Linked DNA regions of Oryctolagus cuniculus. The main gene of each other region encodes a partner of the protein of the gene in region 5 in a complex. Links are inferred from orthologs where the notes say so. Each region holds a gene or a part of one and is shown on either strand. Other genes may lie near its edges. The genes, in order: ARID2, DPF1, PBRM1, SMARCC1, SMARCD1, DPF3 and ARID1B.

Evidence for each region.
Region 1: SMARCD1 (region 5) and ARID2 share a complex: the UniProt entries of both Homo sapiens proteins name them as parts of the SWI/SNF-B (PBAF) chromatin remodeling complex. The link is inferred for Oryctolagus cuniculus from reciprocal best matches to the Homo sapiens genes SMARCD1 and ARID2.
Region 2: SMARCD1 (region 5) and DPF1 share a complex: the UniProt entries of both Homo sapiens proteins name them as parts of the neuron-specific chromatin remodeling complex. The link is inferred for Oryctolagus cuniculus from reciprocal best matches to the Homo sapiens genes SMARCD1 and DPF1.
Region 3: SMARCD1 (region 5) and PBRM1 share a complex: the UniProt entries of both Homo sapiens proteins name them as parts of the SWI/SNF-B (PBAF) chromatin remodeling complex. The link is inferred for Oryctolagus cuniculus from reciprocal best matches to the Homo sapiens genes SMARCD1 and PBRM1.
Region 4: SMARCD1 (region 5) and SMARCC1 share a complex: the UniProt entries of both Homo sapiens proteins name them as parts of the BAF complex. The link is inferred for Oryctolagus cuniculus from reciprocal best matches to the Homo sapiens genes SMARCD1 and SMARCC1.
Region 6: SMARCD1 (region 5) and DPF3 share a complex: the UniProt entries of both Homo sapiens proteins name them as parts of the BAF complex. The link is inferred for Oryctolagus cuniculus from reciprocal best matches to the Homo sapiens genes SMARCD1 and DPF3.
Region 7: SMARCD1 (region 5) and ARID1B share a complex: the UniProt entries of both Homo sapiens proteins name them as parts of the neuron-specific chromatin remodeling complex. The link is inferred for Oryctolagus cuniculus from reciprocal best matches to the Homo sapiens genes SMARCD1 and ARID1B.

What each region holds. Positions count from the first base shown.
Region 1 is NC_091440.1:136,620,721-136,624,220, forward strand, and holds part of ARID2 (AT-rich interactive domain-containing protein 2), read left to right. Parts: coding exon 1-104; intron 105-342; coding exon 343-3,200; intron 3,201-3,500. UniProt on the Homo sapiens protein: Involved in transcriptional activation and repression of select genes by chromatin remodeling (alteration of DNA-nucleosome topology). Required for the stability of the SWI/SNF chromatin remodeling complex SWI/SNF-B (PBAF).
Region 2 is NC_091449.1:16,363,328-16,366,993, forward strand, and holds the end of DPF1 (zinc finger protein neuro-d4), read left to right. Parts: intron 1-56; coding exon 57-107; intron 108-213; coding exon 214-333; intron 334-1,272; coding exon 1,273-1,385; intron 1,386-1,862; coding exon 1,863-1,974; intron 1,975-2,055; coding exon 2,056-2,126; 3' UTR 2,127-3,166; downstream 3,167-3,666. UniProt on the Homo sapiens protein: May have an important role in developing neurons by participating in regulation of cell survival, possibly as a neurospecific transcription factor. Belongs to the neuron-specific chromatin remodeling complex (nBAF complex).
Region 3 is NC_091441.1:97,173,613-97,176,517, reverse strand, and holds part of PBRM1 (protein polybromo-1), read right to left. Parts: intron 1,564-2,905; coding exon 1,493-1,563; intron 1,386-1,492; coding exon 1,169-1,385; intron 1-1,168. UniProt on the Homo sapiens protein: Involved in transcriptional activation and repression of select genes by chromatin remodeling (alteration of DNA-nucleosome topology). Required for the stability of the SWI/SNF chromatin remodeling complex SWI/SNF-B (PBAF).
Region 4 is NC_091441.1:101,097,169-101,101,299, forward strand, and holds the start of SMARCC1 (SWI/SNF complex subunit SMARCC1), read left to right. Parts: upstream 1-1,331; 5' UTR 1,332-1,449; coding exon 1,450-1,650; intron 1,651-4,131. UniProt on the Homo sapiens protein: Involved in transcriptional activation and repression of select genes by chromatin remodeling (alteration of DNA-nucleosome topology).
Region 5 is NC_091442.1:53,425,896-53,429,395, reverse strand, and holds part of SMARCD1 (SWI/SNF-related matrix-associated actin-dependent regulator of chromatin subfamily D member 1), read right to left. Parts: intron 2,255-3,500; coding exon 2,119-2,254; intron 440-2,118; coding exon 317-439; intron 1-316. UniProt on the Homo sapiens protein: Involved in transcriptional activation and repression of select genes by chromatin remodeling (alteration of DNA-nucleosome topology).
Region 6 is NC_091451.1:18,897,046-18,900,545, forward strand, and holds part of DPF3 (zinc finger protein DPF3), read right to left. Parts: intron 457-3,500; coding exon 296-456; intron 1-295. UniProt on the Homo sapiens protein: Belongs to the neuron-specific chromatin remodeling complex (nBAF complex).
Region 7 is NC_091436.1:10,839,573-10,843,702, forward strand, and holds the start of ARID1B (AT-rich interactive domain-containing protein 1B), read right to left. Parts: upstream 2,801-4,130; 5' UTR 2,140-2,800; coding exon 337-2,139; intron 1-336. UniProt on the Homo sapiens protein: Involved in transcriptional activation and repression of select genes by chromatin remodeling (alteration of DNA-nucleosome topology).

The DNA.
Region 1 (3,500 bases), on a different chromosome or scaffold from region 5:
CCTCCCACTCCCCGTGCAGATGTACTACCAGCAGCAGCCAGCGGCGACGCCTGTGGTTCGTGTCGATTCTCTTCCTGACGGGTCTCCAGCTCCTCCACCTGCAGGTAATAATTTCTATTGTGTTTTAAGCGTTGTATTATGTAAATTTAAAGTGTACAGCTTTTCCTTGTTTTTCTGGTAGTGCTTTCTTACTTGAGCTGTTATTTTCTCATAATCATATGATTTGAAGTTGCTGAATATTAATTTTTTAACGGTATTTTTTTGCATTAAGTAAAGTAAGTCCTAATTGCAGACTTCCAGTGCATTTCATTTGAATTTTGGCTTTTTTCCCCCTGTTTTCAGGAATCCCTCATGGATCACAAGCTGTAGGAAACCATTATCAGAGGACTCCTGTTACCAACCAGTCTTCAAGCTTGACTGCAACACAAATGTCTTTTCCAGTACAAGGTGTTCATACTGTGGCTCAGACTGTTTCAAGAATTCCACCAAATCCTTCAGTTCATACCCACCAGCAGCAGAATGCTCCAGTGACTGTCATTCAAAATAAAGCTCCAATTTCTTGTGAAGTTGTTAAGGCGACAGTAATCCAGAACTCTGTGCCCCAGACAGCAGTTCCTGTTAGCCTTGCTGTGGGAGGAGGGCCTCCCCAGACTTCTGTGGTGCAGAATCCTAGTGCAGGGCCACAACCTGTTACCGTTGTGAACTCCCAGACTTTGCTACACCACCCATCTGTAATCCCACAGCCGTCTGCATTACACACAGTGGTACCAGGACAGATAGCTTCAGGCACCCCTGTTACAGTAATTCAGCAAGCGGTCCCACAGAGTCATATATTTGGCAGAGTACAGAATATACCAGCATGCACTTCTGCAGTTTCACAGGGTCAGCAGCTAATCACCACCTCACCCCAGCCTGTGCAGACTTCATCTCAGCCGACGTCAGCTGGTAGCCAGCCACAGGACACTGTCATCATAGCACCCCCACCATATGTAACAACCTCTGCATCCAATATTGTCTCAGCAACTTCAGTGCAGAATTTTCAGGTAGCTGCAGGACAAATGGTTACTATTGCTGGTGTCCCAAGTCCGCAGCCCTCCAGGGTAGGGTTTCAGAACATTGCACCAAAGCCTCTCCCTTCTCAGCAAGTTTCATCAACAGTGGTCCAGCAGCCTATTCAACAGCCACAGCAGCCAGCCCAACAAAGTGTAGTGATTGTAAGTCAGCCAGCTCAACAAGGTCCAACGTATGCACCAGCCATTCACCAGATTGTTCTTGCTAATCCAACAGCTCTTCCGGCTGGTCAGGCAGTTCAGCTAACTGGACAACCAAACATAACTCCATCTTCTTCACCATCACCTGTCCCATCTACTAATAACCAGGTCCCTACTGCCCTGTCATCATCTTCCACCCCTCAGTCACAGGGACCACCCCCTACTGTCAGTCAAATGCTGTCTGTCAAAAGGCAGCAACAGCAGCAGCATTCACCAGCACCCCCACCACAGCAGGTACAAGTACAAGTTCAGCAGCCACAAGTCCAGATGCAAGTTCAACCTCAGCAAGCAAACGCAGGAGTTGGGCAGCCTGCTTCTGGTGAGTCGAGTCTGATAAAACAGCTGCTGCTCCCAAAGCGTGGTCCTTCAACACCAGGTGGTAAGCTTATCCTCCCAGCTCCACAGATTCCTCCCCCTAACAATGCAAGAGCGCCTAGCCCTCAGGTGGTCTATCAGGTGGCCAATAACCAACCAGCAGGCTTTGGAGTGCAGGGGCAAACTCCAGCTCAGCAGCTGTTGGTTGGGCAGCAAAATGTTCAGTTGGTCCAAAGTGCAATGCCACCCACAGGGGGAGTGCAGACTGTGCCCATCTCGAACTTACAGATATTACCAGGCCCGCTGATCTCGAACAGCCCCGCAACCATTTTTCAAGGGACATCTGGCAACCAGGTAACCATAACAGTTGTGCCAAATACGAGTTTTGCAACTGCAACTGTGAGTCAGGGAAATGCAGCTCAGCTCATCGCTCCCGCAGGAATCACCGTGAGTGGCACGCAGGCAGGAGTTGGGCTTCAGGTGCAAACGCTTCCGGCCACGCAGGCATCTCCAGCCGGACAATCATCATGTACTACTGCTACTCCCCCATTCAGAGGTGACAAAATAATTTGCCAAAAGGAGGAGGAAGCAAAGGAAGCAACAGGTTTACATGTTCATGAACGTAAAATTGAAGTCATGGAGAACCCGTCCTGCCGACGAGGAACTACAAACACCAGCAATGGGGATACAAAGGAAAGTGACATACAGGTGGGAAGTCTTTTAAATGGGAGAAAGTACAGTGACTCAAGTCTACCTCCTTCAAACTCAGGGAAAATTCAGAGTGAGGCCAGTCCATGCTCACTCTTTAGTAATGGGCCATCGACAGATTTCGGTGAGAATGGAGCATCTGGAAAACAGAACTCAGAACAGATGGACGTGCAGGATATCAAAAGTGATTTGAAGAAACCCCTGGTTAATGGAATCTGTGATTTTGATAAAGGAGATGGTTCTCATTTAAGCAAAAACATTCCAAATCACAAAACTTCCAATCATGTAGGAAATGGTGAGATATCTCCAATGGAACCACAAGGGACTTTAGATGCCACTCAGCAAGATACTGCCAAAGGTGATCAATTAGAAAGGATTTCTAATGGACCTGTATTAACTTTGGGTGGTTCACCATCTGGAAGCAGCATACAGGAGGCTTCAGCCCTGGCAGCACAGCAGTCTAGTGGTACTGATTTGCCCAATGGACCTCTAGCTTCAAGTTTGAATTCAGATGTGCCTCAGCAACGCCCAAGTGTAGTTGTCTCACCACATTCTACAACCTCTGTTATACAGGGGCATCAGATCCTAACAGTTCCTCACTCAGGACCCCGAGTGTCCCATTCTGCCCTGTCATCTGACGTTCGGTCTGCAAATGGCACAGCAGAGTGCAAAACTGTCAAGCGGCCAGCAGAGGACAGTGACAGGGAGACAGTCCCAGGAATTCCCAGTAAAGTCGGAGTTCGGATTGTTACAATCAGTGACCCCAACAACGCTGGCTGCAGTGCCACAATGGTTGCTGTGCCAGCAGGAGCAGATCCAAGCACTGTAGCTAAAGTAGCAATAGAAAGTGCTGCGCAGCAGAAGCAGCAGCATCCACCAACGTATGCACAGAATGTGGTCCCGCAGGTGAGTCACCGCACCACGGTGTGCCTCTTACCCACTGTTCTCGGTCGCTGATGCAGCCTGGAGGTGATGCTGTGGTCGCTCGCTCACACTCGGGCAGGCCTATGCTTTTTCTCCGGCTGTAATAGGACACTTTTCAGTTGTTAACCATGACACATGGTTGGATCTTTGAGGTTTTTTTGTGACCCAAATTAGTAATCTCAAGGTAGAGAACATCTACCTAACATCATTTGGAGAATTTAGAAAATTCTGAGCCTCTGTCTTTTTTGAGTGCTTCTATGTTTGATTTACACACACATGTTT
Region 2 (3,666 bases), on a different chromosome or scaffold from region 5:
GGCTGGGGGCAGGGTGAGACGGTGAGAGCCCCTCTCTCTGTCCCTCCCACCCCTAGAGTTTTACAAAGAATTGGCCTGGGTCCCCGAGGCACAAAGGAAACACACAGGTAGGGCCGCTCCCTGCGTGCCCCCCCACTCCAGCGTGCTCCCCCTGCAGCCGCCTTTGCCGGGCGCCCCGCCTGCCCTGTGCCCAGCCCCGCTCTGCTCTTTCAGCCAAGAAGGCGCCTGACGGCACCGTCATCCCCAACGGCTACTGCGACTTCTGCCTGGGTGGCTCCAAGAAGACGGGGTGTCCAGAGGACCTCATCTCCTGCGCGGACTGCGGGCGATCAGGTGATCCTGTCCCGGGCGGAGATGGCGGGTCCCAGAGCACCCTGGGCGCACGGGGGCGCTGCAGGGCCCTGGAGCTAACTTGGCTGCTGAGGCTGGGCAAACCCACTGGGGTCGCCGACTGGGGAATAGTGGCGTGTGGTTGGACGGCACTGGGGGAGTGCCATGTGCTTATCATGACACCGAGTGAAGTGAGAAAGGCATTGTGGGTAGCGGAGTAATGGCTTGCCACTGTGGCTTCCAGGCTGTGCCCGCCGCAGACCCGTGGCTAACGGAGTGTGGTTTCCCAAGATGGACTTGTGGGCAGGGGCCTGTCTGTGGTTGCCTCCACACGGTGGGTGGTGACCTGGGCTCGCCGCGGCCATCTGGTAGAATGGGGTGTCCTTGTGCGGGCAGCAGGTGTGTTGGGTGTCAGCCCCCGGGGAGTGGCGGACAGACTAGCACTGCACACCACTGTCAGTCAGTCACAGCTCGGCTGCTGGGGTGTCGCATGGAATGGGCCTTGGCTGCATGGAAGCAAGGTGTGGGGACCCAGCTGTGGCAGGCGGGGCTGATGTGGCCGCCACGTCACTGCGGTGAGCGGCTGTGGTTGTGGGTAACGGGACGTGGCTGCCTCAGCGCGTTGGTTAACAGACTGTGGTTGCCACGGTGTTGTGGGCGGTAGAAAGTGGTTGCCACAGCACTGTGGGTAATGGAATGCGGTTGCCATGGTATTCTGGGAGCAGTGTGGTTGCCATGGCGGCGGGGTAGGAGCCGGTGATGGCCACGGTAATGCTGCTTGCCGTCCGGTGTCCGGGCACTGAGGGCAGGGCAGGGGCAGGGGCAGGGTCAGTCTGTGGACCACAGCAGCTCACTCCAGCCTAATGAGCGGGGGTCGGGGCTGAACCCTCTCCTCGCCAGGGGACGAGGTCCTCCTAACCGCACCCCGCCCTCGGCCCCCAGGACACCCCTCGTGTTTACAGTTCACGGTGAACATGACGGCGGCTGTGCGCACCTATCGCTGGCAGTGCATCGAGTGCAAATCCTGCAGCCTGTGTGGCACCTCGGAGAACGACGTGAGTGCCCCCCCACCTCCCCCAGGACACGCCCCCGCGGCCCTCCCCGCCTGGCGCCTAACGCCTTCCCGGAGCCCCTGAGCGTGAACAGCAGTCATGTGCATGCCTTGTTACTGGTAGCCTGCGTCCTTTAGCTGGCCCGGCCCCTTCCCCTCCACACCTCCTCTCTGACCCAGAGGTAGGTGCCCTGGCCCACTGCGCAGAGAGGGGACGTGGCCGCCCAGGGCCGCCGGCTAGGACAATGGTAGTGCCTGCCTCCCAGGGCTCCCAGGGCTGCTACCCGGTCACCTCAGAGGACAGTGAGGTCACCTTAGATGCACAGAGCGCAGGTGGCCTGCCGGCAGCCTGCAGGCGTCCCCGCCCAGCCACGAGTCCAAGGTGCCAAGACCTCTTGCAAGGGACTGCTTCCCCCCTGCCCCCGGGACCCGAGCCCCTGCCCCAGCCCCCCACCCCGGTTTCTGGTGCCCGTGCCCCCAGGGTGCCAGCTGGGCGGGTCTCACCCCCCAGGACCAGTTGCTGTTTTGTGACGACTGCGATCGGGGTTACCACATGTACTGCCTGAGTCCCCCCATGGCGGAGCCCCCGGAAGGTGAGAGAAGAGGCAGGCGCGCGCGTGGGGGAGGGGGCGGCCGGGCCTGGGCCTGACTCTGTCCTCTGGCTGTCCCTGCAGGGAGCTGGAGCTGTCACCTCTGCCTTCGGCACCTGAAAGAGAAGGCCTCTGCCTACATCACCCTCACCTAGGCCTGGCTCTGCCTCTCCTGGGCCTCTGGGGTGGTGCTCCCACCTGCCTCTCCGGGTCCTCCTCTCGCCCTCGCCACCCAGATGTCCCACAGTGGTGGGGGGGCCGGGCCGCCCTCCCCTCTGTGCGAGCGGAATGTTGGCCCTGTGGGTTGGTGGGCCCAGTAGGGCCCCTCTCCCTGCCTCCCTCCCCACCCCTTGGCAAATGGGCACCAGGAACTTCCGCTCCCCTCAAAGCCATACCCCGCCTCTGGGCGGGCACAGGGGGGTGGATGCCAGCCAGGGGCTTGGACAGAGCCTTTTTCTAAAGAAAAAGACAAAAAAGTTAAAAAAAAAAAAAAAAGAAATTAATATATACAGAGTCCGCTAAGGCCTGGCTGGAGGGAGGGGCACTGCGAGCGCGTCCACTGGGCACCAGTCTCTGCCAGCTTCCTGTCTGGCGCCCCCTCCCCCCCCCCCGTTTCTGCAGCTGCAGCTGTCCCACCTCCCCACCCAAGGTGGGCACCATCCCCCCGTCGTGAGCACGCTGAGCGGGCATGGTGTCCACCCCGCCCGCTCCAGGTGCCCACCGTGGATACTGCATGATGTGAACCATGGTTTTCCGAACTCTGTTCCCGCCCCTCCCTGACAGCCCTGCCCTGTGCCCACCGCATGCCCGCCAGGGCTGGGGGTGGTGCCCGGCGGCGGGGCAAGGCGGGTCCCTGCCCAGCGCCCGCTGGAATGAGAAGCACAGACTGCAATGGACTCGTTCTCCCCCTCCCCGGCCCCCCTTCCCCACCCGGCCAGGCCGGGCTGCCCCTGCCACCCTCGCTGGCCATTTTGGGGATGGCGAGGGGGTGTGGTTGTTTCTTGTGGTTGTGTGTGTTTGTCGTTCGGGTTTAAAAAAAAGGGAACTTGAGACTGCAAATGGGGGAGGTGGTGGGCTTGGGGGTCTCCCCCCATCCAGGAGCACCCCTCCTTGTAAAGAGTCTCCTTTATTGCCTGCCTCTGCTGTGAATTAACTTGTTCTGTGTATTAAACCGGGCCTGACCCCTCTGCCACGACTGCCTGTTCTCCAGCCTGCTGTGGGGTGTCACCACGACGGGGATGGGGGGCCCTCGCTGGGGGAGAAGCAACTGAGCCGGCCCCTCCGGCTCCTCTTCCCCCGCACCCGCCCCTCTCTGGCTTTGTCCCAGCTCCTCCCAGCCTAGCCGGAAAGGAGAAGGGGGATGGGGTGGAGGGGGCTCCCACCCAGCCAGCTGTGGTTGCCCTGGCAACGGGCTGCTGCAGCTGCAGCGGGAGGCAGCCAGGAGGGAGGTGACAGGGGCTGGGGGAGGGAGGGCTGGGGTGGCCGGGGCTGGAGATCTAGAGGTGTCACTCAGACTGGCCATCACTTGGGGCTCCCTGACCTGGGTGCGGGGCAAAGCGAGCGAGAGGAGACGTTAGGGGTGGGCAGAAGGAAACATCTAGACTCAGGGTGATACATCAGGAGAAAGACTGAGGTTTAGGGGTGTGTGTGGGGGGAGAGTGAGGGAGAAGCGGGCCACAGACCATCAGGGGAGAG
Region 3 (2,905 bases), on a different chromosome or scaffold from region 5:
TTAACTACAGAATATTTCCAAGTAAATTTCTTGTATCATTTTACTAGGCTCTAAAAGATCCAATCATTATTTTATTATAGGCGCCCCTAGTATTTACTAATTACTTTGATGCTAACAAAAATGCCTAAAAAGGTACACATGTGAACAAAAGGAAAACATAACTGCTACTCTTTTTCTTTTTTAATGAAGAAAATAATTTTATTTATTTGAAAAGCAGAGGGCAAGAGAGACAGGAAGACAAAGAAAGGAAGATACAGAATCTTCTATCCAGTGGTTCACTCCACAAAAGCCTGCAACAGTTGGAACTCAACCAGGCTAAAGTCAGGAGCTGAGAACTCAACCCAGTTCTTCCTCATTAGTGGCAGAAACTCAATTACTCTAGCCATCACCAATGTCTTTCAGGGTCTGCATTGGGAGGAAGCTGGAATTAGGAAGTGGGAATCAGAGTTTGAAGCCAGGTACTCCAACATGGGACGTAAGCATCCTAAATTGCCTTCTTAATTTCTAGGCCAAATGACTGCCTCTGAATAATTTTTAATTTACCCAAATAGATTTACACTAATGCCCAACTGCCTGAAAAATATTCAGATTCTGCCGGCGCCGCGGCTCACTAGGCTAATCCTCCACCTTGCGGTGCCGGCACACCGGGTTCTAGTCCCAGTCGGGGCGCCGGATTCTGTCCCGGTTGCCCCTCTTCCAGGCCGGCTCTCTGCTATGGCCCGGGAGTGCAGTGGAGGGTGGCCCAAGTGCTTGGGCCCTGCACCGCATGGGAGACCAGGAGAAGCACCTGGCTCCCGGCTTCAGATCAGCGTGGTGCACCGGCCACAGTGCGCCAGCTGCAGCGGCCATTGGAGGGTGAACCAACGGCAAAGGAAGACCTTTCTCTCTCACTGTTCACTCTGCCTGTCCAAAAAAAAAAAAAAAAAAAAAAAAAAGAAAGAAAGAAAAAGAAAAAGATTCTATTTGCAAAGTGATGTCTGTGACAAAACTAAGCTTGAAATTTGGCCACAAAACCCCTATTTCAGTGTGTGATGTCAATAGGCAAAGAAGCTCCAAACTAAGACATAATTTATTTTACTTGTGTAAGAAAGAGAGACGCTTACTGTAGAAGATGCCAATAGCAGTGAGGAGGCTTTGAGAACGCAGGTTTATTTGGAAGGACTCTTACCTGCCAGGGTCTGGTCCCACTTGCTAATGCTGTTGGACTCAGCACTGAGTCCTTCAATGTATTTCAGGTAGGCCTCTGAGTGGAGCAGTCGTTGGGTCTTTGGTGGGGGAGCCACAAACATGGGTGTTGTTGGCTGCTGTATGACAGGGGGGCCAGCTGGATGTGGGCCGGGATATGGAGGTGGTGCTTGCTGCCCAGGAGGTCCCAAAACTCCCACCTGAAAGAGCACAGGACCACATGGTGAAGCAAAAAGATACTGGGCACATGTTCTAAGAAGGAAGATGACTAGAATTCTAATGCAGAAAATCAAAATGGGAGGCTCACCTGTTGTCCATAAGGACTTCCACCTGGAGCTGGAGTCCCTACCATAGGGGCCACTCCTTGGTTCATGACACCTATAATGCAGAAGGCAATGCACAATTAGAGGCTCTGGGTTGAGATGACTGAAAAACTACTGTCTGATAAGAAATGATGACATTCATAATGCCACCCTATGTACCTCTGCTCTTGAGTGTTTGTGGACAGGAACCCTAAGCACCCCAAACAGGATTCAAATAGAAAACTTACGTTCTTTTGTTTCTAGGTACTTAAGGCACAATGCTAGTGTAACTTGTTAGATGCACATCCACTGCTTATGGCTTAGAAAGGATTTGAACTCTGCACAAAACCCTAGTACTTCCCTAGGTGAGCATTAGTCAGAATATACCTCTATTATTGAGGTATTTTTCTTCTGACAATAGATTGTCCTATAAATAGGGCCTGTGTTTAATTTCAGCAGGAATGGCACTGAAAATCAGGCTTAGCAGTAAGCAATATGCTAGGATACTAGGGACACAAAGGAAAAGGCTATGGAAACAGTGAATTAAATTTGTGGAGTCTGGAGGTGTAGCCTTGCTGTCTGTTCATAGGCCAGCAACCAGCACCTGGCTCTAACCGGAGTTACTAGTGTTGGCAGAGAGAAGATGCTTCCATCTGATAGAGAATCACTCTGAAAAGAGATCATGTGGAAGTGGGGTAGCCTTGCTGCTAAAACGACAAAGGAACAAAGACTTAATGCGCCATTATATTTGTACTGTCTCTGGGAACAATCAGGTAGACTTCCCTTAGTGAACGCTCATGAACAGTTGTCATCTCACAGGCACTTGTTGATAATAATGAAATGTCCTAAATTTAGTGTCTGAGGCTATTTTTATCTCAAGGCTCTCCATTTGTGATTCTGATAAAACACAAACAGGCAAGGAGCCCAGTTTATTAAAAACTAACACACAAAGCACAACCAAAGCTTAATAAGTCCCGCTGGCTGCGCAGGATTCAGAGAAGCTACCTCCAGCGTCTATAGTTCCCCTGGATTAAAAATGCTGGTATTTTGATCAGCCAAAAGTAGTCTATTATTCTAGGGTCACAACTGCTAAATGCCACTTCCAAGAAGTATTAGGCATTCTTTTATTTGTTAGAGGAAAAACAAACTAAGAAACAAGCTTCTACTTTAAAAGCAAGGATTTTTATATTCCAACACTCTAAGTGTACCTGGATCACCACAGTAGGATCCTGGTGATTATTTGTGAATGCATGGTTCATCTGGTAAGCTGCCCCACTCCATTCTAGACACTCATCCAATTTGGACTCCCCAACACAATGGAACTCCCTAGACTGCCTCTGTCACTGCTCTGCAGGGCAGCACACACAAATCCACAGAGTTCTGCTCCCCCTGTTCATCTGTGTCGTGCCAGGGGCACC
Region 4 (4,131 bases), on a different chromosome or scaffold from region 5:
CTCACCGGATTTTCTCACAAGCACTTGGTCACTTTCTGCTCTGGGATCATAGCATTATGTCCATAGCTCTGTTAGGGATAACCATACTTGGATAAAAACTCAATATGGGGCCAGAATTGTGCACAGTGGGTTAAGCCGTGGCCTACCTCACCAGTATCCCCTATCAGAGGGCCAGTTGGCATCCTGACTGCTCTGCTTGTGATCCAGGCAATGGAAGATGGCCCTGAGTAGTTGGACCCCTGCCCTCAGTGTGGGAGACAAAGACAGAATTCCAGGCTCCTGACTTTGTTATAGCCACTTTGATAAACAACCAGCAGATGGAAGATAGTTTTTTCTGTCTTTCCCTGTCACTCTGCCTTTCAAATACATAAACCAATCTTAAACTCAAAACCTCCATTCCTGCGGGCCATACATTCCCCAAATATTTGTTAGCTAACAGGCAGAGTGGCTGGCGTTGTGGCTCAGTGGGTTGAGCCGCCAGTATCCCATACAAGCAACCTGTTCTAGCCCCAACTGTCCCACTTCCCATCCAGTGCCCTGCTGATGCGTCTAGGAAAGCGATGAGTGACCCGGATGCAATTTCAGGCTCCTGGCCCAGCCCTGGCCGGTGCAGCCATTTGGGGATGGAAAATGTCTCTCAACTCCGCCTTACAAATATTTTAAAAACAAAACAAGAACAGGCTGTTTCCGCAGCGCGAAGGGTACACCTGTGAACAAGATTAGGTTCTCATGCAGTCTATCTGCGCACACACACAAATAATAAAAACATCGGGTCACGTTCAGGGCTTCGCAGAACGTGTGAGCCACGGCTCAGGGGCCGGCCTTCGGAAGTACTTCCAGGCTGTGAAAGCGGCCGAGGCTCATGGGTGAAACCACAAAGCAAGACCCAGGAGGTCGCCGAACAACCCAGCGCGCAAAGGCCATAGGCAGGAAGGGGCGCGCGTGGCCGGGGCCACGAGGGGCGCGGAGGCCGCCCCGCGCCGTACAGGGTCCGGGCGAGCAGGGCGGGCGCGCAGCCGCACCGCGCCCAAGCGCCAAGGCCCGCAATCCGCAAGGGCTTCTCCCGGGCACTTATCAGCCCACGCCTTCCGTCGGCCAGCACAGACCCTCCTGGCGGCTGTCCACCGCGTGAGGCGCGCACACAAGAACCACAGGAAGTAGAGAGGCAGCCCCCGTGGCGCGGCGGAAGAGGCGGGCGGAGGCGCTGGCCCGCCGGCAGGGCACTGCGCAGGCGCGCGCGCGTGCTCGCGACGGTTACGGCGCCGGGGCCAACTCGGGGCGGGGTCGGGCTTCCGCGCCGGAAAGGGGTTGGCTGGGCGGGGCTGAGGGACGGCGGTGGTGGTGGTGGCGGCGGCGGCAGCAGCAGCGGCTGCGCGCGCGCGCGGGTGCGAACGGGGAACGCTGCGAGGGCCGGGCCGTGCCGGGCGGTGGGGACGACTGACGGCGACGATGGCCGCGGCAGCAGGCGGCGGCGGCGGCGGGCCTGGGGCAGCGGCAGGCGCCGCGGGCGCGGGGGGTGCGGCGGCGGCCGCGGGTCTGGCGGTTTATCGACGGAAGGACGGCGGTCCGGCCAGCAAGTTTTGGGAGAGCCCGGAGACAGTGTCCCAGCTGGATTCGGTGCGCGTCTGGCTGGGCAAGCACTACAAGAAGGTGGGTCCGCGCGCCCTTGGGGACCGGGAGGTCGCGCGGCGGGGGCCGGCGGCGGTCCCGGGCTTGGCGGGCCCCGGGGCCGCCCCTCCCCCCGCGCGCCACGAGGGACAACAAAGGCCGGCGCCGGGGCTGCCACGCCCCCGCCGGCCGCCCTGGGCGCCCCTCCGGCTCCCGCTTGGCTGCCGGGGGTCCCGGGCCTCGGCCCTGGGAGCCCGAGCGCTCGGGGCGGAAGCTCCTGCGGGCCTCGGTGCGCGACAGCCGGGCGGCGCGTGTGTCTTTTGTTGGCCGCCTCAGGTGTGGGAACAATGACCCCCCCCCCCCCAGTACCCAGCCGGCGTGGGCGCGCAGCCTCGGGGTTCGTCCCGAGAGTGGCCTCCGAGTGGAGGAGGACCCGGGTTTCGCTGCCCGCGGCTGGTTTGCCGCAGGCCTGTGGACGCTTGTCCCGGGCTTCACGTCACGACCAGTGGCACCGAGGAGAACTCGTGTCCGGTGAAGAAACGACGGGTTTTGGTTGTGCCCGTCTGCATGCTGCGAGTTCGAGGCTGTGTTCACCTGTGCCCTTCAGCCAGGCCTTCCCTGAGGACCCGCAATGTACAAGCGCACCCTACTTCGTGTCACCTTTATTTAATTCCTAGTGCTGGCCGCTGCCTGAAATTTGTGCTTGCTTGTTTCTCCTACCTTTGGGATTAAATTCTGCTGAATCATAGGTTTTCAAAGTTGTGACTTAACCCTTTGTTCAGAATTTTGAAAACCCTTTAAGTTTATGCTTCATGTAAATATTCCCAGAATGATTGCCTTGTAAGGTGGATGAAGCAGACAGCCACTCTCTGCCTCGAACTTCCCAAGCACCCTCTTTGACTTGTGCTCTCCCCCAGGGAGCAAGGGCACTGTCAGGCCTGTACCTGCTCTGGAACACGGTCGGTGCTCGGTGCCTCCCCTGAGCAGTTACTCAGTAAATACTTGCTGAACGAATGAAAAGATCGAGGTGTCTAGGAATCTGTTAGGGGTCTGCAGCTCAGTGAGTCTGTCTGTTTCAGCAGTCGTTAGGTGAGGGCAGGGATCTTGGGTTCCTTTGAGGTCGCTCACACTGATGCTTTCTTCAGAAACCACCGTTCCTGCTCTGAAGTTTGAGGAAGTGAGAGACAGTAGTCACATTTTTGGATGCATTGATTTTTTACCCCCTTTGAAGTTACATATGGGACTGTAGATTTTTCTCTACAGTATTGCTTTCTGTTGTAGTGACAAATTGGTCACTTTGTATATGGAATATAGCTTCTGGAAGTGGCTCACGGAGTTGAATATGTTCCAAAAATGTTAAATTTTTTTTAAAGTTGGTAATTTTCTCATCCAGTGCTTTGGGTCTTAAGGTCAAAGAAGATTTAACAAGAAAAGATTATCAGGAGTCATATTCCTTTGAAAATCAAGGAAAAGAGTGGAAAAAAAGTCAATGATAGTTATTTTGACTTCTCCAAATAATCAGTGTATTAATTTTGGTCCATTTTAAAGAGGGCTGCTTTATGCCTGGGTAATACCTCAGAAGTTTGAGTGACTGGGAAAGTAGCTAAGAGGCAGACTGAAGGATTTGACCCACAGCGTTGAGGCCACTAGGCCAGTGTTGACACACTGTTCCTGAGGCTTTAAAGACAAAGTCAAAGTTAAGTTTGATGTCTCAGGGCTTTGTAGAATCAGAATGTATTTCTTGGGCCTATCCAGGTTCAGAATTGTATATATCTCTTATGCCTGACAGCCAGAATTCTTTCAGCTTCCGGGAGTCATGTTGAAGTGGTAAAAATCCTAGTCAGAAGGCTCTTTGATTCTTTTTTGCATACTGTATTTCTGCTTGGTTTGTGTTTTGGTGGGTTTGAACTAAACATTTGTTTTGCATTTAGTAATGCATTTTCAGAGCAGTTAAAAAAAATTTTTTTTTTAGTACTTATTTGAAAGCGTTAAAGAGGGAGGTAGAGAGAGAGGTCTTCATCTGTTGATTCACTACCCAAATGGCCGAAATGGCTGGAGCTGGGCTGAGCTGAAGCCAGGAGCATCACATAAGGGCTGCGAGCACTTCAGGTGGCGGCTTTGCCTGCTTTGCCACAGCACTGCTCCAAGGCTAAGGTTTGTGGTGTGTGTTTTTTTTTTTTTTTTTTTTTAAGATTTTATTTATTTATTTAGAGGTAGAGTTACAGACTGAAAGAGGGAGAGACAGAAAGGCTTTCCATCTGCTGTTTTGCTCCCCAAATGGCTGCAACAGTTGGAGCTGAGCCGATCCAGGGGCCAGGAGCTTCCTCTGGGTCCCTGACGTGGGCACAGGGGGCCCAAACACTTGAGTTATCTTCTGCTTTCACAGGCCACAAGCAGAGAGCTGGATCAGGAGAAGAGCAGCTGGGACACAAACTGGTGCCTATATGGGAAGCCTGCGCCACAGGCAAAGACTCAGTGCTGGCCCCGCCCCCCCGGGCTAATTTTTAAGCCGATGATTTTGTA
Region 5 (3,500 bases):
CAGTTCTAATAATGTCTTAACTTGGTTCCCTACTCTAATCACACTGGCCTGGTTTCTCCAGACTGACGGCTGCGCTGAAGGCAGAGCCAGGCCTTGCACCGCAAATCCCCGATGCCACAGAGCACGGACACTAAGTCAGCACCCGACAGCGTGCCTCTGCTTCCCCACTTCACTGTAACCTGGACCCTGGGGCGTGCTCAAGCAAACCTGGGTGCACTCTCTCTTCCCTGCCTGGCTCTTCCACCAGGTGCTCTGCCATAAAGCAGACGAGTGCCTCGCAGATCTGAGGCCCGCGGATCAGCCCCGGCTTCCTTACCTTGAGGTCTCGGCACTGGGACTGAAGCCAGTCATTGATGAAGCCCTGGGGGTCTCTGGCAAAGCTTAGCATGAACTCTCGCTGCGTCTTCAGCTGGTTGATGGTTTCTATCGTCTCATGGATCTGAAAGCGAGATGGAAGCTATACCAGTTTCAAGCTGGACAAACAGAATGAAGCGGCACCTGATGTCTCTGTGTGTCACTCCTGGCCTAGATCCAGCTCAGAGCCAGCGCCACTGCACAGGGTGCCAACTGCTCCGGCCTTGGGGCTCCCCAGCAGGTGATATGCACCTGTTTCTGTCTCTCTGTTTACCTCCTGTGAGAGAAGTTTCCATTCTCGACTCCTCAATACATACCATGGGCACAGCTGCAAAGAATACTTAATCCAAGCAGAAACAGGCGCCAAACAACTGTGAGGTGGAAAAGGAGGCGCGCAGGGCTGGCTCAGCAGGTGTCTGGTTCCCAGCTCTCTCCTTGTTCTGCACACTCTTCCTGGCAATGTCTGTCTTGTACGTCTTCTGTGTACACCGACAGGGGAACAGCTCCCCAGTCAGCAGTCCATTTCCTGAACGCCAAGCAGATTGGCTACTGTCTCGACATTGCAAGGCATCTGACGCTCACCACATCCAAAACGAAGTTCATGGCCCTCTCCCCGCACCTGCTTCTCCTCCTCTGCTCCCAGCATTGCCCATCACTGCCACCAGCCTGGGAGTCCTCTCAATGCCTCCCCCTCAGCACTCCACCCCTCACTCCCATCTAAACAGTGGCCAAATCCCTTGATTGCACTTGAGGCCCCGTCAAGCCTGTCGACCCGTTTCCAGCCTCACTGGGCACGCCTTATGTTGAAAGCCCCAATAGCTCACACACGGATTACTGTACCAGCCTCACTGGGGCTTCCGGCGGCTTCCAGATCTGCCCCTCTTTCTACTTCCTGCCAGTGATCGCTCCAGATGCAACAGCGCCCCCACCTCCACTGGGGATGCTCGCCCCAGCAGACTCCCGGCCTCCTGTCCAGGACGACGCGCAAACCAGTTCTCCCTGCACCAAAGCTTCATGATCAGGCTCCTGTTTCCCTGCCCAGCACCCTGTGCTGTGTCTAGAGCCCTAACAGCTTGTTCTTCTTGAACACGCCGGGCTCTCTCTCACTTCTGGAAGTCTATAGAGCCCACTCCATCTTTCTGGACTGCCCTCTGCCCCTAAGGTCCCCGGCCCTGCTACCCTTCCACCCCTGTGGGAACTTCCATGTGGTCGTTCAGGGTTTACTAGTGCATCAGCTCTCCCTGTTCTCCCCTGGATCCCCAGTGACTTCACTGTCCGGGACTCTGTCTACCGTTAGTAGGAGAATGGAGACAGCAGCGACAGCAGCAGGATTTCCCACTCTTGTTCTTACACGCCGGAAACACACTCATGTCTTTACACACACGATTTCATTGACTCCGAATGGCAACCTCCGAGGAACAGGTGTTAATGGTCCCCACTTCACAGATCAGAAAGACGGAGGCTTAATGCTATTAAAAGGGGCAGCCAGAGTCCAGAGGAGGGGATTCATGGGGAGGTTGACTCCAATCAGCACCAACCACGGCACCTGACAGACGCTGGCTGTCCACGTATTGGGGAACCCTCAAAAAGATCCCAGGAAACGCGCATGCAAAAGCACTCCGATGCATCTCCGAATTTCCTCACGTCACAACAGATCTACCTCTCAATTCCGTCCTTCATGAAGTGCCCTTTATTCAGAATGAATACCAAGCAGCAAAAGGTGGCCTGCTGGCGACAGCCACGCTATCTAGGCGGGGCCCCTACCTTGTTGTCCAGGGTCGCGATCTCCTGCTGGCTGGCAGTGGACAGCAGGAAAGAATTCATCTGAGTCTTCAAGGTGTCATCCACCTCCACGTCAATGTCGTAACAGGCTGTCTTCTTCTGATCATTCGGGTCAACACTGGGGAGGGAAGCAAACGGCCTGGTGAGGGGTTTGTCCCAAGATCTGACAACACAGCATCAGGGACAGGAAAAGGAGCCGACTCCAAAAGGGCCTGAGGACTTTCAGGTGTGACAGAACCTTCTCGCCTTTCATTGCAATGGCAGCTTCCCAGTGTACACAGGTGCCCAAAGTCTTCAAACTATACTTCAAATGGCTACAGTTTACGAAATATAAATTACTCCTCGACAGGGCTGGCTTTTTTACAAAGTCAAAGGTAAGGAACGGGTAGTTGGCACAGTGATTAAGACAACACTTGGGGGTGGCCAGTATTGTGGCACAACAGGTAAGGATGCTGCCCGCATCCCATAGGAGCGCTGGTTTGAGTCCCAGCTGTTCTGCTTCTGATCCAGTTCCCTGCTACTGCCTGGGAGAGCAGAAGATGGCCCAAGAACCTGGGCCCCGTACCACCCACGTGGGAGACCCGGAAGAAGCTCTTGGCTCCAGGCCTCAGACTGACCCAGTTCCAGCTGGCGAGGCCATTTGGGGAACGAACCAGCAGACGGAAGACATCTCTCCCTCACTCCCTGTTCTCTGTAACTCCACCTTTGAAACAAACACAACTTTAAAAAAAAAAAAAAAAAAACCCTCTTATTTATTTTGAAAGTTAGAGTCACAGAGGGAGGGAGACAGAAAGAGACCTTTTATCAGCTGGCTCAGTCCTCAGATGACTGCAACAGCCAGCACTGGGCTAGGCTGGAGCCAGGAGCTTCACCTGGGTCTCCACATAGGTAGCAGGGGCCCAAACACTTGGGTCATCTTTCTCAGAACACTGGCAGGGAGCTGGATCGGAAGTGGGGCAGCCGGGACTCGAATCAGCGTCCATATGAGATGCTGGTGTCACAGGAGGTAGCTTTATCCACCTAGCCACAGCGCCAGCCCCAACCTTTGACGCTGAAAATAATGTGTACACACACACACATCCCTAACTTTAAGCACGGGAATACAGGACAGACCAGCTCCAGTGCCAACTTATAGGGTATAGGAACTGCTACCAGGTGAGTGATGGTTCAGGCCCCTGACTGGATAGAATCTGCAGCAAAGCGAGGAAGGCAAGACGATAACTACAGAGAGACGCTGTCTAACTACAGAGAGACGCTGTCTAACTACAGAGAAATGCTGCTCTGAGGAGGAAGTACTCTTCTTCACTCCGTATCTGCCTAGAAGTGCCTCGCTCTCTAACTTGGGAACAAGAAAAGTGAACAGA
Region 6 (3,500 bases), on a different chromosome or scaffold from region 5:
GCTGAGGGGCAGAGGTCTGGTGACAAGGCCTCTCGCCCAGATCTGCGTGCAGATTTCCAGCCTGGGACCCACACCACAGAGGGACAGGGGAGGGCTGCTCTCCACGGGCCTGGCCTTCTCTTGGGGACACATATGCAGGATGCCTCCGGAATTCGGTGTCCCACCCAGGCCTAGTGACATTCCTTGGAACCCGCGCCAGGACCACGTGCAGCCCCCATCCCACCCGGTGGGTTCCCCAGCCCTGTCCTCCCGGCTCCAGCCAGGCGGCCGCACACCCAGGGGCGGCGCGGCTCACCTGGCCCTCGGTGCCGTTTCTCCATCCAGATGTAGCAGTTGTTCTGGGCCACCCCGGTCTGCGAGTCCAGGAAGGGGAGGCGCACGCTGCGCTCCGCGCACAGGCGCGAGTTGTAGCTCCGGCAGTGCTCGATGGCTTCCTTGTAGAACTGGTCCCCGAGCCTGCGGGAGACAGGGACGGAAGGCATGAGGCCGGGGGAACCCGAAACAGCCCCAGAGGCAACCCGACGCCCCCGCATCCATCTCCCGGGAAGAATCTGTGCGGTTATGAGGATCAAGACGAAGCGCACGGAGCGCAGTGCCAGGAGCGCCTCCGCCAGGTTCTATTTCCAACCCCAAACCCACCGGCAACCCGAAGCTCCATCAACAGACAGCCTGGAGCGCAGCGAATGAGCCACCAGGAACAGTGACGAGGCCGCGCCGTAGAAAGCATGTGGCCTCTCTCCGGAACAACATGCCGCGTGGGGTCTGCTTCTAGAATCCCCCTCCCAGCCGTCGTGACCCACGCCCTGTGCTCTGCAGTCACAGGCAGACGCTCCAGAGGAACCCAAGCTCCCAGCCAAGCTACCCGGATTCCTGCCACTGCGGGAGAGAAACACTCTGACCAGAGGCTGCAACTCGCCGCAACGCAGAGCGATTCACAGGGGAACCGGGGCAGACAGGGACAGACACCCACACTTTGAAACCACATCCTTCAAGAAAAATGACTTTCTCTGATGGGAAGCAAACAAAAGCAGCATTCAAAATAATAGTTGAGCTCAGAATCATTCAACTCTTGGGAGTTTAAAACACAAGTAGCGAGACCTGTTTTGCTGGAGTGTGGATCTGATTAAGCCCAGGAAATTCTACATTTTCAAGTCTCTGGGATCCACAGACATACGGTGATGCTAATGTTAAGAAGGTGTCCTTTTGAAGACCAAAAACATGCCATTGACTTAACTAATCTAATGTAAAGCACAAAAATAATCAACGAGATCAAATGCCTAATAAATAAAGCAGAGGCACGTGGTGGAGGGTAATAAATGGCTTAAGGAAATAGAAATATAATAACATAACTTCCAGTGCTGTGGCTTGTAGGCTAAGCCTTTGCCTGTGCCATCAGCATCCCATATAGGTGCCAGTTTGAGGCACAGCTGCTTCACTTCCCAGCCGGCTCTCTGCTATGGCCTGGAAAAGCAGTAGAAGATGCCCCAAGTCCTTGGGCCCCTGCACCTACATGGGAGGCAAGGAAGAAGCACCTGGCTCCTGGCTTTAGATCAGCACAGCTCTGGCTGTTGAGGCCATCTGGGGAGTGAACCAGCAGATGGAAGACCTCTCTCTCTCTCCCTCTCTCTGCCTGTAAATCTCTCTCTCAAATTAGTAAATAAAATCTTTTTTTTAAAAAAAAGAAAGGTGTGAAATTAATAAATTTTTTAAAAAAATAACATCTGCCAGGTAAATTTGAACTTCTTGGGGAGGGGAGGGAGGTGAGAAGGGGAGGAGACACAGGAACTGGAGGTGCAAAGGAGAATCAGGTCGCTCATTCTGAACCAGCATTGCGAGTCCTTTTTGGCTCTATTGTAGATTTGAGAAAGTCAAAATCTAGGAGAGAAAATCTCTGGGTTAAAAATCTGGTTTTTCGGCCGGCGCCGCGGCTCACTAGGCTAATCCTCCGCCTAGCGGCGCCGGCACACCGGGTTCTAGTCCCGGTTGGGGCGCCGGATTCTGTCCCGGTTGCCCCTCTTCCAGGCCAGCTCTCTGCTGTGGCCAGGGAGTGCAGTGGAGGATGGCCCAGGTGCTTGGGCCCTGCACCCCATGGGAGACCAGGAAAAGCACCTGGCTCCTGGCTCCTGCCATTGGATCAGCGCGGCGCGCCGGCCGCAGCGCACCGGCCGCGGCGGCCATTGGAGGGTGAACCAACGGCAAAGGAAGACCTTTCTCTCTGTCTCTCTCTCTCACTGTCCACTCTGCCTGTCAAAAAATAAAAATTAAAAAAAAATCTGGTTTTTCTTAACCAAAATATAATAAAGAAAGCCAAGTTGGGCTTTTACAATTCTTTTTTAAAAACAGACATAAAATTGATCATCTTAATCATTTCTAAGTATACAGTTCAGTGGTATTAAGTACCTTCACGTGGTTGCACAACCATCACCACCATCCAGCTCTAGAACTCTTCATTGTGCAAGTGAAACTCTACCGCTTAAACACTAACTCCTTATTCCACCTTCTCCCCAACCCTGGCAAACAACACTCGACTTTCCCTGCCTTTGATTTCAGTTCATCTAAGCACCTTACTTTTTAAAGTTAGATAATATTCCATTGTCTGTATAAACCACATTTTGCTTATTCATTCTTCTATCCATGGTTGCTTCCACGTTTGAGCTATTGGGAATAATGGTGCCATGGACTCTGGGCATATAAGTACTTGTTCAAGTCCCTGCTTTTAATTATTTCGGGCACACACCCAGGAGTGGGATTGCTGGATCATACGGTAGTCCCATTTTCAATCTGTCAAGCAACCACTCATATGATTGTCCTTAGTGGCTATCTCATTTCACATTCCCACCCACAGTGCACCAGGCTTCCAGTTACCCCATCTTCACCACTACTTGTTAGAAAGCAAAGTTCTAAATGAAGTTTTCTATACTGTTTTTAGAAAATCAATGGGTCAGATTCTATCAAAGAGTTCCAAGCAAACATCTTACTCTGGGAGAATACAACTAATCAACTTTTTGACAAGCATCTGGAAAAAAAGAAAGCTTTGGTTTTTTTCACCCCCTGAAGATCCTCGTACTCCCAAGGAAGGCATAGCATGCTCAGAAACTGTGCCGGTAGTTGCAAAATCAAAAAAATAATCAAATTAGAATAGTCACACAGCTGGAAATAAATTTGGGAGGGGAGGGTGAAAGCCCATTAAAATGCTATAAAACTGAATGGCACATAAGCTGATGTAATCAAAGTTGGTGACAAGGATCACCAGATTGATCAAGAATAATAATTTCCTAGAAAATGTGCATCTGTGTCACACCAGCTTAAATGCCTCCTCAACCCAGCTGATGTAGCACAGTGGGACAAAACTTACAACAGCTCAGCCCAGGCCGATGGCCCACCCTGTTCAGGGTGACCTGACTGTTCCAGCTCCCCTCCAGGAATCATGCTGACCACACTGGCCATGCCACAATGTCAGCCACACCACACTGATGAGAACTTGCAGAACTCCTGATGGA
Region 7 (4,130 bases), on a different chromosome or scaffold from region 5:
GGGCGCTGTCTCGGAATCCCGTCACCACCCCAGCGCCTCGGGAGAGCCGGCGGGGCGAGGCTGCGGGTCCACCGGGCACCGGAGCGCCCGGCCCGGCCCGCGGCCGCGGGCGAAGCCCTGCGCGGCCCGCACGGCGCGGCCCGGACTCGGCGGGCGGACGCTCGCGCGCCCGACCTCGGCGGGAGGCGGCCGCCCGCGAAGATGGCCCTGGGCGCCGCGCCCCCGCCGCCCCCCAACCAGAAAACTGGGGAAAAGTACGCGGCAAAGAAAGAAACTCGGGCTCGCGGCGCGGCGAGGCCGCCGGGCGGAAGCAGGCCCGGCCGGCGCGGGGGTTACCTGGGATCTGCCCATGGTCGGTCCGGGGGTGCCGGGACTCATCGCCGGGTGACTCCTTTGTTGCGCGGCCGCCCAGGCCGGGCTGGCAGCGGCATACTGGGCGCCCATGTCCTTGCCCAAGCCCATGCCCGCGGCCGCCTGCTGGCCGCCCGCCGCCGCCCCCGCCGCCGCCGCCGCCTGGGACTGGGGCTGCGACGGCGGCGGCGGCGGCGCGCTGGGGCTGCTGTAGTCGGGGTAGCTGCCGCCGTAGCTCCGCATCATGGGGCTGGGCGAGGTGAGCAGCTGGTTGAGGGTCGGGGTGGCCCCCGACGGGTGCTGGTTCTGCCCGGCGAAGCGCTGGAAGCCCCCCGCCGCCGCGCCGGCGGCCGCCTTGCTGAGGCTCGCGGCCCCGCCGCCCCCGGGGCCCATCATCATGCCGCCGCCCTGCTGCCGGGGGGAGCTCAGCACCCCGTACCCCGAGGACGAGCCCCCATAGCTGCCGCCGCCGCCGCCGCCGCCTCCTGCTGCTGCTGCTGCCGCCGCCGCGGCCGCCGCCGCCACAGCTCCCGCTCCTGCTCCTGCTCCTGCTCCTGCTCCTCCTCCTCCTCCTCCTCCTCCGCTGCCTCCTCCTCCTCCTCCGCCTCCGCCGCCGCCGCCGCCGCCGCCCGCGCCGGGCCGGCTGTAGCCCGGATAATGGTTGTACTGGCTGTTGGGGTACCCTTCGTGGGAGTTCTGCAGGGGGTCCATGCTGCTGGGGGCCCCGGCGGCGGCTGAGGCGGAATGCATCATCCCCATCCCGGGGCTTTGTTGTCCGCCATGTTGATCAAAGCAAGGCCCAGCGCGGCCGCCGGGGCCGCCGCTAGCAGGGGCAGCGCTGCCATAGTAATTATTAAACTCCGAGACGGCCGCCTGGCCGCCGCCCCCGGGCACGGCGGCCGGCGACTGCTGCGCGCCCAGGGCGCCCAGGCCCGGGTGCTCGTAGCGGCCGCCCGCCGGCTCCCCCATCTTGGGCGGCGCGTCGTCCTCGTCGCCCGGCTTGCTCAGCAGCGGCTGGCCCGGGGGGTCGGCCTGGCTGCCCGCGGCACTGTCCTTGGCGCCTCCATGTTGCGGCTGCTCCATGTCGGGGCCCGGCTGAGGCGCGCCGCCGCCGCCGCCCGCGCCGCCCAGGCTGTTGTTGGAAATGGGATGTTGTTGCTGCTGCTGCTGCTGCTGCTGTTGCTGCTGCTGCTGGAACTGGTTTAGCTGCTGCTGTAGTGCGTGGTGGTGGTGGTGATGGTGGTGGTGGTGGTGGAGGTGGGCATGGTGGTCGTGGTGGTGGGCATGGTGGTGGTGGTGGTGGTGGGGCGGTGCGGCGGGGGCCTCGCCAACGGCTTTCAGTTTGTGGTTGGGGAGCAGCCCCGTCTCCATGGCCGAGCCCGGGCCCGACGAGGAGGAAGAGGAGGACGCCGCCGCCGCCGCCGCCGCGGAGGAGGAGGAGGAGGAGGACAGCGCGGCGGCGCTTCCAGCCTCCTTGAGAGCCGCCTCCGAGCCGCCGCTCTTGGCGCTGCTAGTGCTGGCGGCGGCGGCCGGGGCCGCGGCGCTCGCGTTATGGGCCATGTTCAGCTCGTGACGGGGGTGCAGGGGGTGGTGGTGCACATTATTCAGGCCGCCGCCGCCGCCGCCCCCCAGCATGGGTCCCGGTGCCGCCGGTGCCGCCGCCGCGCCGCGCGCCCCCGCCTCCAGGTCCCGGGCCCCGGGCGCCGGCCGCGGCCCGGGGGGCGCCCGCCGCTCGCCGCTGCCCGCCCGCGCCCGCGCCGCCGCCGCCGCTGCTGCCCGCGCGGCCATGATCGCCGCGGCGTGGCGAGGCCGGGCGGGCGGCGGGGGGAGACAATACCCCCACTTTTCAGGCCGCGGCCCCTCCTGCGCGCATCCACGCGGCCCGCCGGGAAGCCGCCGGCCCCCTCCCCCTCCGCAGGCCCCGCCGGAGCGCCGGGCCCGGGGCACGCCTTACGGTCTGGGCCTGCTCCCGCTGTGTGCTTTCACGGTGAAAGTTTTTAGTTCAGGTTTAAACGAAACTTTTCTCTTTTCCTCTCTAACCCGGATATGGGTAAATACACGACCGGCTGAGCCTATCGGGCCCAGCATGGCACGAGAAGGAGCCGAGCGAGCTGGAGCAACTATTATCCCACTTCTCTCTGATTGCTCCTGTGCACTCGCAAAACGCGGACTGGACTCGGCGCGGGCCGCAGCCGCCCGCCCGTGCCGGCGCAGCCTCGGGGGCCGGGGGCCGGGGGCCGGGGGCCGCGCGCAGGCCCGGGCCAAGGCCGGCTGGGCAGCCGCTCGGAGCGCGGCGGCGAGAGGCGGCCGGAGCTGCACTTTCCCCTCGTGCCTCCGTCTCCTTGCCAACCGGGCGTTCGCGTGTTTGTTTTCGCGTCTAAAAGGAACGCTCCAAAGGTGGAAAAACGAGTCTGTGGCGAGCAGACAAAAGAGGGAAGAAGGGCTGGGGCACGAAGTTGTCCGTGGGCCTCCGAGGTGACGAGGAGCCCACGGAGGAAAGAAAATATTTGGGCGATCTGCAAAAGCGCTGGCTCTCACAGGAGTTATGTAATTTTCCAGAACGTTGGCCTCCCTGCCTTGATTCCTGGCCATCGGCGTGATTCCCACAACTTCTTCCAACTGCAGAATTCAGGAAGGGCTTTCGGGGAGGGTTAGCCGCGTTCGAAGAGCACAGAGCCCTGTACACAGCAGGTACTCAATGGATGCTCACCGATGCCGGCACCTGCCCCAGAGATAATGGCTACGTGGCTGTTTTTAAGGCACCCTAGATTCCTGTGCAAGGAGTCTGTGGGGAGAGCTCGCACCCCTGTGTCCTCTCTGTCTCGGGCACACGCAGCCGAGGGTCACGCGGCACACAGCTTTCCCACGCAGATGCCACTATTTGTCCAAAGTCGAATCCCCCCCCCTCCGGTGATGTAGTAGCACCTTCCAGCGTTATTTCAGAGGGTAACGGGCACAGAGAACCCTCTTGAGAAAGTTTCTTTCCAAGTAACATGAAACAAAACTCAATAGATGTTAAATGTAATATAAATACAAGATCAATAACTATAAAACAGTCCAATCTAATGTAAAAGCAGAAATAGTACACAGTTGTGTATTGCAACAGTTTTTATTATGAGTTTACCACCTAGTATCATTATGAGTATCTTTAGTAACAGTACTTCTTAAGAAGTACTCTCCAGCTCTCCAGGGGTCACACTCCCAGAAATGAGATACACGATTTTGGTAGAGTATAGTTTTCCAAAATCATTTCATTCCTCAGCTTTCCATAGCAAGCATTTCGGCTTGTTTCGGATGCACTAGTTATGTATGCTTGACCAAGTGTAAGCATGTTACCTGACTAGAGACAGATAGCCAGACGGAGCTACTGGTGACTGGTGGGGGCGGGGAGCCAGGCGCACACCCAAGGGTCGTTATTTGGAGAAGAAACAACAAATTGCCATTCTGTCCAAACAACTGGAAAACGGGTAAGAGACAATAACAGAACTGTAAGAGGAAGTCATGCCAAATCATCAGTTTGTGCCAAGAGAACACTACATCTCTTTTAGTGGGCCTTTTGACATTTTTTTCCCTGGCTTTTCTCTATATATTCAAATACATACTAATTATACGTATTAACCACATATGTTGCATTTTAAAGTTTTCATATGCAAATATAAATGTTTTATGTATCTATATACATGTATTCTAAAATCAATCTTGTTTATGCTTCAGACATTGATAATCAAACTATATGCAAATAATCATACAGTGCTTTTATTCAGATTGATAAGCTAGAT